2 linked regions of the Tamandua tetradactyla genome follow. The main gene of each other region encodes a partner of the protein of the gene in region 2 in a complex. Links are inferred from orthologs where the notes say so. Each region holds a gene or a part of one and is shown on either strand. Other genes may lie near its edges.

Evidence for each region.
Region 1: LAMTOR4 (region 2) and LAMTOR2 share a complex: the UniProt entries of both Homo sapiens proteins name them as parts of the ragulator complex. The link is inferred for Tamandua tetradactyla from reciprocal best matches to the Homo sapiens genes LAMTOR4 and LAMTOR2.

The regions. Positions count from the first base shown.
Region 1 is NC_135330.1:9,089,267-9,096,758, reverse strand, and holds LAMTOR2 (ragulator complex protein LAMTOR2), read right to left. Parts: upstream 3,097-7,492; 5' UTR 2,947-3,096; coding exon 2,879-2,946; intron 2,562-2,878; coding exon 2,399-2,561; intron 602-2,398; coding exon 512-601; intron 268-511; coding exon 211-267; 3' UTR 65-210; downstream 1-64. Other genes in the region: UBQLN4 (ubiquilin-4), read left to right, coding at 4,107-4,214, 5,716-5,867, 6,214-6,431, 7,006-7,268. UniProt on the Homo sapiens protein: As part of the Ragulator complex it is involved in amino acid sensing and activation of mTORC1, a signaling complex promoting cell growth in response to growth factors, energy levels, and amino acids.
Region 2 is NC_135349.1:8,406,661-8,413,643, reverse strand, and holds the start of LAMTOR4 (ragulator complex protein LAMTOR4), read right to left. Parts: upstream 3,091-6,983; 5' UTR 3,078-3,090; coding exon 3,024-3,077; intron 2,586-3,023; coding exon 2,505-2,585; exon of another isoform or gene 2,486-2,504; coding exon of another isoform or gene 2,459-2,485; intron 761-2,458; coding exon 643-760; intron 282-642; coding exon 184-281; 3' UTR 1-183. UniProt on the Homo sapiens protein: As part of the Ragulator complex it is involved in amino acid sensing and activation of mTORC1, a signaling complex promoting cell growth in response to growth factors, energy levels, and amino acids.

The sequences.
Region 1 (7,492 bases), on a different chromosome or scaffold from region 2:
GATCACTGGATTCCTGGATTCCTTCCCACCTCTTCAATTCCTCAGACCCAAGAAAGTAGCAATACACAAGAGAGGAATTGAAGTTTATTCTTGGAAAAAACAAAAAAAAAACCTCTCCTCTCCTCCCCCAGTTCAGGAAGGTTTTCCCAGGGGCCCTGCCCCCCCAAATGGTCATCTCTCCTTTGTGACCCCAGCTTCTGTCTGTGGCCATTAGGATGCCGCTACTTGGGTGAGGGGCTCCTCCAGGTATTGCACCAAGGCCTGGGCCTGCAAGGCGGAGAACAGAAATTAGTCCCACACTGGCTTGCTGGTAGAGGGATCCTGAATCCAGGGTCTACCCCCAATGCCATATGCACAGATCACCAGCCTCAGCCCGCTCATAGGAATTAGCCCACACCAGGCATGCACTGGGTGGATGTGAGAAGGGTAAGGTAGTGGGGCTGGGAGTGGCCATGGTGATGGAGCTTGAAGGCTGTGCCCAGGGTTATGGAAGAACGAGGCACATACACACCTTGGCCTTGAGCATCCCGAAGCCCACGGTCTCCTTGGCATACATACACAGCAGAAGGTTGGCCACTCGGGTGATGGCCACACGGCCCTCCTGGTGGGGGAGATGTGATGTTCTGCTTGGCACCCTGGTCCCTCTCCTCCCACAAGGGCTCCTCTTGCCCCAGACAGACTCTATCTTCCCTCCATGCCTAAGGCACAGAAGGTTCAGCTGGTGGGTGGGGGGCGGGGGGGGGGGGGTGCTCTGGCCATGGCCTTGGACATTAGAGTCCAGAGCCCAGCTTCCAATTTCAGCACAGCCACCTCCAAGTTACCCTGGGAAACTCATTTATCTATCAGAAACTCAGTTTCTTTTTCTGTAATTTCTGTCTCATCCTAGCTGGTGTGGGTACCATCACACATGAATGAGTTTTGTATCTGTAACAGCCTGTCCAAATGGATGACATTATTATGGGCTCAACCCAAAGATACTGAGAGGGGCTTGGGAATAGTAACCCAATTTATGTTTATCTTCTTTTTCCATGACAAGGTTTTTCAAACTGAGGTTTGACCTAGGATTAAATTAATTTAGAAAGTAGATCAGCATTTAAAAATAAAAAAGAAGAGAAATGAAGTGCATTGCATGTTTCATGAAACTTTTGTTTTAGTGGATGCATTTCTTATGGCTAGGTTGCAGTCGCGAATATTTGAAAACCTTTGCCCTATAGCACCAGCTTTAGTCTAGGCACAATATAGGAGTCATCTATTGAACTGAAATGGCCTCTTTGGTTGGACAGGGGATGGGGAAGAGGTAGTCAGCCAGCCGAGTCTCCATGGAGAATCTTTTGGGCAATTCAACCTTGGGGTCTATTCAGTTTGGTTCAGCAGACCTTCATTAGGTATCCACTGTGTGCGGGGCACCAGGTGTTACACCCCTGCTTCTCTGACTTCATTTTCTACTACTCTTTCCCATGCTTATGCCACTCCAACCACACTAACCTTGCTGTTCCTTGACCAAGCACCTTTCTGCCTCAGGGCCTTTGCACTTGTTGCTCTCTCTGTCAGAGAAGTTCTTTCCCTCAACAGCCACATGACTCACTCCCCAAATTCCTTCAGATCTTTGCTCAACTGTAAACTTTTTAGTGAGACTCTAACACATGCCCCCTACAATCTCTATCTCTTTTCCCTACTTAATTTTTCTACATAGCATTTCCATGACCAAACTTTTTTTTTTTTTAACCAAGCTTATTATAAAAAATATGTGACTTTAAGCTTCACGAAGACTGGGGTTTTTGTCTATCCTGTTTACTACTTTCCCTTCAGTTTGGAGAAAACTATATTTACATTCAAGTAAATATTTCTTGAATGTACAGACATGAGTGAGACAGTTCCTATTTCCACGCAGTTCACAGTGGAATGTCCATTTCCTTTTTCTGGATTTCATTTCTTTTGTCTGTAAAAGGAGTTGACTAGGTCCTGGAGACCTTGCCAGCTCTAAGGTTTTGAACCTGGGATGACAGCACCTTGTGTTTGTACCTCACTGTATGGTTGATATCCATTCTTTCATTTGAACTTCACTACAATTGTGTGAGACAGGAAAGGTGGGGGGAAGGAGTATTGTTTCCAACTTAGAGAAGTAAGGAAGCTCCCAGAACTTAAGTGACTTGCCCAAGGTCCCACAACTGATAAGTAGCTGGCAGAGACCAGAACCTCAATCAGACCTCGGGTCCAGGGCTCCCTCCTCAACACCACCTGATGCAATGGGTCCTGCTTACTCTAAGTGCTGTCGCACACCAGCTCTTAGTACTCGTCCAGAGCTCCCGTTCCTGCCCCTCTGACTATCCGGGCGGAATCCGGGTCACCCCGTGGGAATCCCCATTGGAGGACAGAAGCTAGGCTCTTCTCTCCATACCATGCAGTCCATGAGAATGAATTTGAGATTGTCTTCGTTAAACGCTTGGTTCCCGTTCCGGTCGTACGCGGCCCAGATATTACTGGCGATGGCCGCGGTGACCCGGGCATCCGTGTCCCCGTAACCCGAGTAGGCCAGCAGCGATCCCTCGTTATTCAGCAGCCTGGCGAGGGGTGGGGAGGGATATCGGTGTGCTTAAGACAGGGAGTAGGACCTCTGGGGTCCCATCACAACCCCACTACCGGCGCTTCTTGGAAGCAAGTGTCCGGGCCGAGGGTGTTCGGGACCGTGCCCCGGACATTCAAGCACGCCCCGCTTCCCTTTCCGAGAGGGGCCCTCCCGGCCGGTTTCCCCAGGCCTCTGCCCCCTCTGCCGCCTCCTCCCTTCCGGGCGGTCCTTCCCCAACCCTCCCTCAGACAGCCGCCCGCCGCCCGACTCGGGCTTCAGCGCGCGCCGCTCGGGTCCTCGGTCCGCACTCACAGGGTGCTCTGGACGCCTCCAGTGTTGGCTTGGCTTAGCACCTGGGTCAGAGCTTTGGGGCGCAGCATGCCTGCGACTCCGAACCCGGAACTTTCGCACACAGATCCGCCGAGGTGCCGCCTGCTGGCCTCCGCCGGCCACTCCCGGTAGTCCAGCCGCCCTGCTCCCGACCGCCCTGGGAGTTGTAGTTTCCCGGCCTATTGCGGGTCTGACTCAATACCCCCGCCGCCGCGGAGGCCTCTGGGAGTTGTAGTTCCTGTGCGGTCGCGGGGCACCCTGGGAACTATAGTTTGCCTTTCCAGTCAGACCACGCGGTTATGGGGGAAAAGAGCGGGAGTAAAAGGACAGAAGTCCTACAAGGAGGTTTAACTCCTTCGGGGAGAAGTCGTCACGTCCGCTTGGCAAACCACGGTTCAATAATTTGAAAAACCTTGTAGTTATGAAGTACACCTTTGGTTACTTTTCAAAGCAATGTCCTGTGTTATACACAATTCTTTTGGATGAGGCGATAGGTACTATTATCTTGAGGAAACCGAGGCTCAGAAAGACAGGAGGAAACCGAGGCCACGCAGATCAAACCCAGGTCTCGGGAACCATATTTAACAGTCCTTTATTAAGGCCCCATCCCTCGGGAGGATGGGGACAGTTGTAGAGATGAGGTCCTAGGTGGACGTCCCGAGGTGGGAAAATTCAGCCTTCACGTCAGGAGGGAGAAGGCCCAGCCTTTGGAGAGAACTGGGCCTCCCGAGAAGGACCAAGTTATCTCACGGAGCAGAGATAAAGCGGCGACACAGAAGGTCCTTTGTCCCGGCGCGGGAGTGACCCGCGGAGGGGGCGGGGGCAGCTTTGGGAAGGACTGGACCTCCCAGCGGCTCCGGGAGGCTGGGGCGGGGCCCCCGCGGCAAGGGGCACGCCCCCCGCCCCCGCCCAGCGCCCCTCCCCCCACCGCCGCCCGGCGAGCCCCAGAGCCGGCTCCCGGGCGCAGGGCTCGGCCCTGGGCGGACCCGGTGCAGTGGCCCCCCCGGGCCGCCCGGGGCGCTGTGGCTGCGGCAGGTCCGGAGCGGGTGGCGAAGCCTTGAGGAGAGGCGGGGAGAGGGGAGTGTTGGAGGCACCCGAGCCGAGCCGGGCGGGCCGGGCTAGCGGGGAGGAGGAGGAGGAGGAGGAGGTGGAGAAGGAGGAGGAGGGGCCCGGACGGGCTGGCGGGCGGCCGGGTGGCGGCGGCGGCGGCATGGCGGAGCCGAGCGGGGTTGAGACGAGGCCCCCCATTCGGGTCACCGTCAAGACCCCGAAGGACAAGGAGGAAATTGTGATCTGCGATCGAGCCTCGGTCAAGGAGGTAGTATGGGTGGCGGGGACCGCGCGCCGTGGAAGGGTCTGCGGAGAGATGGGGGGGGGGGGGCGGTCCTGAGGGACGGTCGGGGAGTCCGGGAAGATCCCGGACAGGAAGGCGAGGGTCCAGCCGGAACCCCGAGGAACGGTGGGGAAGGAGATGCTGGTAGGGAGCGCCCTACGAGGGTAAATCCGGGGAGCATGGCGTGTGCTGGGGGGGACGGGGTTTGCCGTGGGGCCAGGACTGGGGGCGTGGTGGAGGGTGAGGAGGGGGCCCCCTTGCACAGAGAGCACTCTGCACTTGCACAGAGACGGGAGAAGAACCCTGGGTTACTGGTCGGGGTTCGAGGCGCTATGGCAGAGTAGGGAGTCCAGGCAAGGTGCTGAAACAAGAGAACGGACGCAGGAGAGCACCGGGTGCCTACTCTATGCCTCAGAGGAGGCCCACCGTTTTAGGAGAAAACCTGGGGTAGTAGGGGGCGGATTTTCCTCTGCCCAGATTCTTTCAAATTGAAGTGGTTTCCTTTGGTGGTCAGCTCCTCTAGGGTTTGTGCAGTGTGCAGTAGGTGCTCAATAAAAATTTGTTGAATAAGTGAATGAGGGAATATTGCCTCTGTTTCTCACCCCCAGTGGCTGCTCCAAAATTTCACATAGGCGGGGCTTAAGATAGGCCATCTGGTTGGAAGGGAGGGCTTCTGGAAGCTGCCTTTGCTTAGCAAGTGCACTGTTTTTCCTCAGAATGATTGTTATTTTTTGTTGGGAGTGTGCTGATAGTTGGGGAGTCTAACTCTCCCCAAGCTAGCCCTCGGTGCCATCCCTGCCCCCCAACTTTATAAAATGACTCTATTCCAGAATTTAAATTCTTTCCTCTGCGAAGCTGAAATTTAAATCAGTTTTAATTGAGAAGCAGTGTGTCCAGGCCGTTGCAAGCGTGGGCTTGGGTGTCAAGGCCTGAGTCCCATTCTGAGCAGAGTAAATTGCCTAATCTCTCTGATCCTTAATTTTCTCAACTTTCTAGTGGAGATAATATCTCCCAGGATTTAGACTGTTAACTGATGAATATCAAGGGCTATTTGTTGTTGTAGTTCAAAGATGGCTGAAGCAGAAGCTGGGAATAAAGAAAGATAGAAAGTTGGAGTCTGAGAAGAGAAGGCTGAAGGGAGACGGGGCCTGGGTCTAAAACTGTTGAAGGAGTTGGGATGGAGAGGGCTGCCCATTTAGCACCCTCATAGGGGGTTGGGTGAAGGGATTGAAGGTAGGATGTCAGAGCAAGGGCTTTTGGGGTGGAAGACCTTGGAATATAGCTGAGAGAGGAGCCTCTCACTGGTCCATCTTGGTTAAGAAAGGAGCTGCTTATTGCAACTGGAGGGGTGGAGAAGAGACTGCAGAAAGAAATTCCCGTGACTAGAGTGGGAGCAAGGGTATGCCAGAGGCTCTTGGAGAGGGGCAGGGTCCCTGGTGGGTCTGGGCTGGCAGCCTCCTCAGTGACCTCTGCCTCTTGGTCACAGTTCAAAGAGGAAATCTCTCGGAGATTTAAGGCCCAGCAGGACCAGCTCGTCCTGATCTTTGCCGGAAAGATCCTCAAGGATGGGGACACACTGAACCAGCATGGAATCAAGGATGGACTCACTGTGCACCTGGTCATCAAGACTCCTCAGAAGTAAGTTCAGAAGATGAGCAGGCCCAGCCTCTGACTAGGCCCTCCTTTCCCTTCCCCGTCTAACATTTTCTCACCCATGGCTCAGCTGGACCTGGACGGCCTGTGTCAAGGATGTCCTGCCTGGCAGCACTATGATATCACCTCTAGGAGAAGGGAAATTGACTTACTCCTCCCACAATGCCCTGAAGACAGATAAGACTAGCTCCTTCCTCCCTCTCCCTGGTTTACTGACCACCCCTTCCCCTGCTGCTGCCTCAGGGGCCCTCAGCAGGTAGCTTGAATCAGAGCAGTGGCTTCTCTGTGTGCCCACTCCACCCACCTAAGAGTCTCCTTTCTCTGTCCCCAGGGCTCAAGATCCGGCTGCTACGACTGCTTCTTCCCCCTCCACTCCAGACCCTGCCTCTGCACCTTCCACGACACCTGCTTCGCCCGCCACCCCTGCCCAGCCCTCTACCTCTGGCAGCACCACTTCAGATACTGGCAGTGGAAGCCGAAGGAGCAGTGGGGGCGGTCCCTCCCCAGGGGCTGGGGAGGGACCCCCCAGTGCTCCCGCCTCCATACTCTGTAAGCCCCTAGAAAGGAGAACACAGTCCTACTTGGTCTGGGGAGTGAGGGAAAGCCAAGAGCAGGCAGAAGGATGGTCCCTGCTCTGGTCTGGTGGTCTGGTGAGGGCGGGGGGCTTCTGGACATAGGGTTCCAGACCCTGGTATTCAGCCAAGACCAGTGTGCGAGGGCTTCCTGAAGGAGGGGAACATGGCTGAGTGTTAGCAGTAAGGGGAGAAATGGGGCTGGGGATGTGGAAAACCCAGGTCAGGATTTTGGAAGACCCCGTGAGTTTGGGAAAGTGGTGGACCTGGCTGGGGTTAGCTAGAGAATATTTATTTGTTCATTCAACAAGCCGCCAGTGGTTGCCCACGGTGAGCTAGGTACTGTGCTCAGCTCGGGGTAATCTAAGCTTCTACCATCAAAGAGGTCTTGGCTAGTAAACTGACATCTTGCCAGCCGTGGATCACGGCTGGGACTATGGGAGTAAGTGGAAAAGGGAGATATGAGAGGCAGAGACAGATGGGGCCCATTCTGGAGACCAGGTTAGGGAAGGGCTATCGTGGCAGATGGTGACCCTGCCCCCTCCCCACAGCTGGTTTTGGGGGCATCCTGGGGCTGGGCAGCCTGGGCCTAGGCTCTGCCAACTTCATGGAGCTGCAGCAACAGATGCAGAGACAGCTGATGTCCAATCCTGAGATGCTGTCGCAGATCATGGAGAACCCTTTGGTCCAGGACATGATGTCTAACCCTGACCTGATGCGTCACATGATCATGGCCAACCCTCAGATGCAACAGCTGATGGAGCGGAACCCCGAGATTAGCCACATGCTCAACAACCCTGAGCTCATGAGGCAGGTGGGTATGGGAGAAGGTTGGGTTGAAGGGGGATACCTAGAGCCCAGGCATTCCCTACCTAGCCTATTCCTGCCTTGTCCTACACTGCCTGATTGACTGATTCATTCATTCATTAATTCGGCAGCCATATTTTAAACCCTGGTGTACAGTGATGAAAATACACAGGCCTAGCTTTGCAGAAGTTCCTGGTCTCAAAGGGAAGTGGGATAGGTAAACAGGTATTT
Region 2 (6,983 bases):
GGCCCTTGACACTGAGTGCAGTTCCCAAGCCTTTGCCCTCCCAGATAGGGGTGGAGAAGTGGGGGAGCAGAGGGCCTAGTTCTAGCAGCAAGCCGAAAAAGAGGTGGAGGACATATGCGTCTTCCTCATCACAAGAGGCTCATGGACCCAGCTGGCCTTCTCCAACCCTTGCCCTCTGCAGGCTCAGACGTCAATGGGCTCCCGGCTTCGGTTTTGCCTCTTCACGACAAACACCCTCTGTCCTGACACGGTCACCAGCAGTGTGTGTTCTCCAAAGACCACTGGAGGAGAGACACACCTTCCCCCACCCCGGAGAGGGAAGGGAGCACAGAATTAGTGGGGTGCAATGACCTCCAGTGGTCACTCAAACTGGCTGGGATCAAAAGCCCAAGAAATTCTATGGTTCAAGGCTCAGAGACTTGAAGATGAGAGGCTTTCATGAAATCCCCTGCGTTCTCATACTCAACTCTGATGCACGGGAGAACCCCTAAGGGAAGAGGAGCCAGAGTCAGGGACCCCAGGAGATGTGGAAGGTTGTAAGGAGAAAGATTTTTCACCCCCTGAAAAGGAGAGAAGCAGCCTTTGGGAGCGACCCCCCCCCCCCCCCCGACCCTCCACCCCACGAGAGGTGCTACAGCTCACCAGACAGGCGCTTGAAGGGTATGTTCATGCCGTGGTGAAGCCGGAACCCGCAGGCCGTGCTGACCAACTCAGAGATGGCGCTGGCTGCCTGCTCGTCATTCTCTAGATCCCCAGATGACTGCGTGCAGACAGGGGAGGATGGGAGAAATTAGCGAAGAGAGTTGGGAAGGAATTCCACTCACTTTGGCTCTAGCATCTGCAACATGCCCATTTTGGAAAACAAACCTAAGACCTTCCTTTGATGTGACAGCCTCCTTTTGGTGTCATCCTATTTCTCATCCTTATATTACTGGGTTTCACTGAAGAGCAGCGACTCTCATCCATTTCTTTACTGACCACTCTCTCCTAGTCCCTTGAAATATAATTTCTTTCCACATTCTCAAAAATCAATACCTGTCCCTCAAAATGACCACTGACTTGCTAAAAACTCCTCCTCTTTCTTGGTCTTCCATTTGTCCCCTGTCTATGGAGTGTAAAACACAATCATCCTCTTTGTCCTTGAACTTCTACCTCCTCCCCCACAACTGGGTCAGTGATGTGCCTGCCAGTGGCTTGGGCTTCCTCTTTTCTATGCCTGTCTCAACTTCCTTTTCCCACCATATCAATATGGGCCTCCCACTAGGTTAAGTTCACTGTCCTTTGCTTTCTCGGACATCCTGTACCTCAGTTTCCTCATCTGTAAACTGGGGACATAGAGTACATGCCTTACACGCTTGTAAGGAATAAACGTAAGATTGGCAAGATGCTTAGAACAGCTCCTGGTGAAAAATAATTTAATTTACTGTAATTCTACTTCAGACTCAATGCCTGAAGTCAAGCCATCAAAATTTCCCTTATCCTCATCCTCCCCAGACAACTGCCTTTCTCGATTTCCTGTTTCTTAAGGCACACTCATTCTTCAGGGATTCTGAGTTCAAAATCTTACCGGTGAAGTATCTCCTCCATTCCCTATATCCAGTCATTACCAAGATACTGATTCCTCCTGTAAAATCTCTTCTCTCCTTTCTCCTTCTCCTTGCCACCAGCCCAGTCTCACCGCTGGATTACTGCACAACCTCTGGCCTTCTAAACTTTGCCACTTCCAGTTCACCTTCATACCACTAAGCCATTTCATCAGGTCAAGTTTATGTTCAAAACCTTCAACAGCTCCTTGTTCTCAAGATTCAGTCCAAACATGTGAAGCTGGCCCTAAAAGTCCTTCACAATCAACTTTTCCATTACAGTATCCTCTGTTTACTCCAAATCATTTGTACATAAAACCAGTTCAAATAGGTTGGTGTCACACTCCTGCAAATACGTCCAATTTCCAACCCCAAATACTCTCCTTCCCTTCTGTTTGTCCATAACCATCCATCCTTTAAAGCTCAGCTGAATTCTTACCTCCTCTAAGAAAGTTTCCTTACCAAAACACAACATACAAAGTAACACAGAGGGCTGGTTCCTTCATTCTCTGGACTCCTTCAGTAGCCCTTACTACTCACTTTGCTTTCAATTTTTGACATAGCTTCTAAGCCTTGTCTCTTTAGATGAAATGTCTAGAAAGCTCACACTCTACTGTGGTGTGCAACAAAATACAAACCTTCATCAATAAATACAAATGAAGACATTCTCAAAAACAACCCAGCTCGTGTCAGTTATCAACAAGCCTGTAACTAGTTGTGTGACTCTGGTCAAGTCTTATACCTCAGAAAAACTAGCGACTAAGATTCTAGAGATTTAATTAACTACTGAAAGCTTCCTATATGACGGCCACGATACTAGGGAATGAATGCCAACAGACAAATGAGGCTCCTAGTGGCAATGCTGAAGGGATTACCGGGCCACGTATATTAGAGGACCCCATTTAGGTTCCCAGAACGCACCGCCAGCACTGCACCTTCACTCAGCACCAGGTAGCCGAGCTGGTCTGGGATTCGCTCCAGCCCCTGGGTCAGTGCAGAAGTCTAGTGGATGAAGATGCAACCGGTGAGAAGCACGACAGGAAGATGGCTCTCCGTCCCCTTCACCTACTGACCCCAAACAACTTCTCCCGGCGGTCCCGCAGGCTTTTTTTTCCCAGCCGGGACCCTTGGAGACCCTCTTCCCTCCACGCGGTCTTCCCCACTGCTCTGTGCTTTGACTTGCTGAGCCTTCGTCTGTCTTCACAGTCTCCCCGCCCCGGGGCTCCCGTGGCCTTCCAGGTTCCCACCCTGACAGCCCCCAGGAAGCCCTTCGCAGCCCCACTAGCCCCTCACTCAGACCCCTCTCCAACGCCCTCGTGCCCCGGTCTAGCAGACCCCTCCCCAGCCACCGTACACCCTCCCCCAGGTCCCTCTGCAGGCCTCCACGTCGCCACCCCTCCTGTCTCCATTCCCTCCCGGCCAGGGCGGTCTGGGGGTGACCAAGGAAGCTGGGGGACGGGGACCCGAAGCCCCCCGGCGTGTCCTCCCGCGCATGCGTCCTCACTCACCATCGCAGGCCTTAGGTACCGGGGGCGCTCGCGGCCTGAGAGGTAGCTTCCGGCTCCGGACCCAGGTCACGTGCAACCAGTGGGCGGTGTCCTCTGCCCCGGCCGCCGGGCTGAAGCCCCGCCCTAGCATGCGGATTGGGGCCTGGGCTACGTCATCACGCCGGATCTGCCAGTGCGAATCACCGCCTCCCGAGGGCGCGCGCCGATTGGTCAAAGGCCCCTTTTAGCACCTAGCTCCCCGCCCCGAAGCGCATGAGCGGGAGGAGAAGGGGGCGGTGGGGCGGTGGGGCGGGGCGGCGCGGGGCGGCGGGGCGGGGCGGGGCGGGGCGGCGGGGCGGGGCGGGGCGGGGCGGCGGGGCGGGGCGGGGCGGCGGGGCGGGGCGGGGCGGGGCGGCGGGGCGGGGCGGGATGGGGTGGTGTGTTCGTGCGCACTAGCCGCGCCCGAGGCTCTCCTCGCCGTAGGCTGGGCGCGAGTGGGGCCTCAGGCGAGTCCTTTTCACGGTTTCAGACCTGTTCCCTAGAAAACGAGCGACCAGAATGAAATCCCGCACGTGAAAGCTGTTCAGATGTTACTCTTATGCCTGCTGCCGGCACATGGTCCCCGGGTCCTTGGCCCCGCGGTTTTGGTGCGGAGCCTGGGATGGCGGGTTGAGTCCCGGGCCGCCCGACGCGCCTGCGGTGCTGGTTCTTCTCTGCCGGGAAAAGTGAGAGCCCGTGCCTTGCAGTCACTTTTGTATGTTGCACCATCACTACGTGTGTGTAAACAGGGGGGATGCGTGTTTTAACTTGATTGGACAGTTTCCGGACCTGCTACCATAGTGCTGTAGCTAAGGCCTTCTTGGTGAGGTAAAATGAAAGGTGATTCTAGAAATAAAACAATTTCTTGTTGGCGAGGATGTGGAGAAGCTGGAACCCTCTTGCGTTGCTGATGGGATCGTAAAATGGTGAAGCCGCCGTGGGAAACAGTTCCCTGGCTCTTCGGAAAGTTAAACGTAGAAATACCATGTGACCGGGCAGTTCCACTCGAGTATAAGAGAATCGAAAACACGATCACACAAATACTGCCCGTAGCAGCATTATTGGTTGTAGCCAAACTTGGAAACAGCACTAATGATTAATACAGAAATTGTGCTTTGGCCGTATACTGGAAAAGTATTCACCCGAAAAAAGTAATAAAGTTCTGATCGACGGCAGGACATGGATGAACCTTGAAAACACTTTATGCCAAGGGAAAGAAGCCAGACACAAAAGGAAAAATAGTGTATGACACATGTATATGAAGTGTCCAGAGCAGGCAGATCCATAGAGACAGAAAGATCAGTGGTTGCCAGGGGCTGGGGGAAAGAGGAGAATGGGAATTTCTTTGTGGAGTGATGAAAATGTTCTGGAATTCGTGGTGACAGTTACAGACCTTTATAAATATACTACAAGCCACTGAATGTTCACTTGGAAAGGGTGAAGTTTATGGTATATGAGTTATATCTGGATAAAAAATATATGTACTGCTCCTTGAGGGGAAAAGCTAATGTAAGAAGGCAAATGCTTTTTTAAAAATGAGTTATGCTGTCGCCTGCTCTGCGGGAGACATGGATTCGATCCCTGGTCCACGCGCATCCCCCAGAACAAAAATCAAGCAAAGAAAAATTCAACAAATGGTGCTGCAATAATGGGATGCTCATATGGAAAAATAATGAAATGTGACCCCGCCATACAGCATACAAAAAAAAAAAAGAGTTATGGTACATATTTAAAGTTATAATATAAAAATTAAATTAGAAGAGAATGTAAAGAGAGAAGGTTCTGTGGACATGCTTAATTTGCAAGCCCTCCCCTCGCTTTAGACGTTGATGGCATTTTCTGGTACCATTTTCTCTGTGCTTAGCAGTTCACAGTGGCTTCATTCTCCCCTCCCTCCCTCCCTAACTATAGGTAATATCACCCTGTAATATCACCTCCCTTTTGCAGGTGAAGAGAGCACACAGCTGACGGGTGGCAAAGCCAGACTCTAGCCGGCGTTTTCTGATGTTCAGGCCTGTGCTTTTTCAATCGCTCCATGGGCCAACTATTTGTAATTAATTTTTTAGACTAATTTTACCTCCGAACTTCCTGCTTTCCTATTTCTTAACCCAGAGGAAGCCATAGCAGGATAGTACTTGTCACCATCAGCAGCATCTTCATTTTCACGAACAGCTCAAATCATGCTACTCAAGCGGAGAGCAAAATTGTTCATTCCTTTATTCAGTGAATGCTTATGTCACACCTTCTGTGTCCCAGGCACTCTTCTTGGAATGAAATCCAGAAGATTTCATTCTGGAATTGAGGGTACAGGGTGAATAAAAACATGTTATTTATTGTTCTCAAGGAGCTGTGAAGGTGAGCCATATAACAAAATAAGAAAATAAATGTGTTAAATAGTAAGAAGTACTACAAGGAAAAACAAAGCAGAGTTCCACTTAAATCAAGTTTGAAAACGTGCAAAATGAAATAATGTATGGTTTAAGGCTATATGTTCGTGTGGCAAAATGGTAAAGAAGATCCAGGGAATGATAAGCACAAAATTTAGAATAATGGTTACATCCCCGGGGCAGAGAAGGGAAGGGAATCAGGAAGAGGGACAAAGGGCTTCAAAAATACCGGTAATCTTCTGTTTCTGAAGTTCTAAGTCTCTTTTCTATACACACACACTCTCTCTGTCTTCCTCTATTTAATATGTGAACGTTTTAATAGTTTTTAAAAACCTTCGAAACAATAAAATAGGTCCTGTGAACTAGCGTCACCCCAAGTTACAAACCCAGCAGAAATGCGATGAATCAGGTCGCGTTCACACCACGGAATGCGCTAGAGCTATGAGAATGAATGAGCTAAAACCACACACAATGACACGGTGACAGGAATGAGCCTCACAAACTTGGCGTTGAGGGAAAGAAACCATCACAAAAGAGAGCATTCCGTGTGATTCCTTTTATATAAAGCACAAAAAGCAGGCCCAACTAATGCACCCTGTTAAGAATGAGGTGAGAGGGTATCTCTGGGGGAAGGGTTGAGACCGGAAGGAGGCAGATGAGAGGAGGCCCTCTTGGTTGTTCGGTGAATGCTGTTGTGTGTGTGTGTTCGGTTAGTGAACATCTATCTAGTGGGCTGCACACCTGTGACGTGAACTTTTCCTGTATGCATGAATTATACTTTAATAAAGAGCTAAAGAAACAGAGTGGAGGAAGAGTGGGTGAAAAGCTGGGTGGGGATGGGTGTGAGGCTGAGCAGAGAGCCGAGGGAGCCAGCCAGCCAGGCAGGCATCTACTTCTCTGGGGCAAGAACATTCACTCTTGGGAATGCTCATTGTCCAGTGCTTGTTTTGTCTTGGACAATGAGGTCCATGAAGACAAGGACCTGCTTTACCTTTGAAATTGCAGCTTCTACCTCCGGAGCTTGCATGCTGCTAACCTACAGTTCGATTTTTTTTTGCCTTCCCTGATTTTGTACTCCCAGTCTCTCCCAGGATTTCCTCCTGATTTTCAGAGATGTTTTTCTTTGGTCTCTGGTCTCTAACTCCTTTCTTTGCCCTTCCACCATGCTTCCCTCTTTTGCAAGGGAGGAGGCAAATCCTGACAGGTGAATTAACTTCAGTCCATCCCAGAAGGAGAGCTGGGCTTCTCGTTCCTGTCCAAGCCCTTTCCAGATGATTCCAACATTCCCTCTCTCAGCCGATACCCAGAAGTGCAGCTTGACTGGAAGCCACACATCTGCCCATTTACCCCCTCCTCACACCGCCCCCCACCCCCACCCCCAGTTGTTCCATGAGGAACAAGTATCTCTACTGCAGCCCCTAGTGGCTTTTCGCTCACCTGCATATCTCGCCTAAAAGCTGAGCAGCTCGTGGTTCCGGGCTTTGATG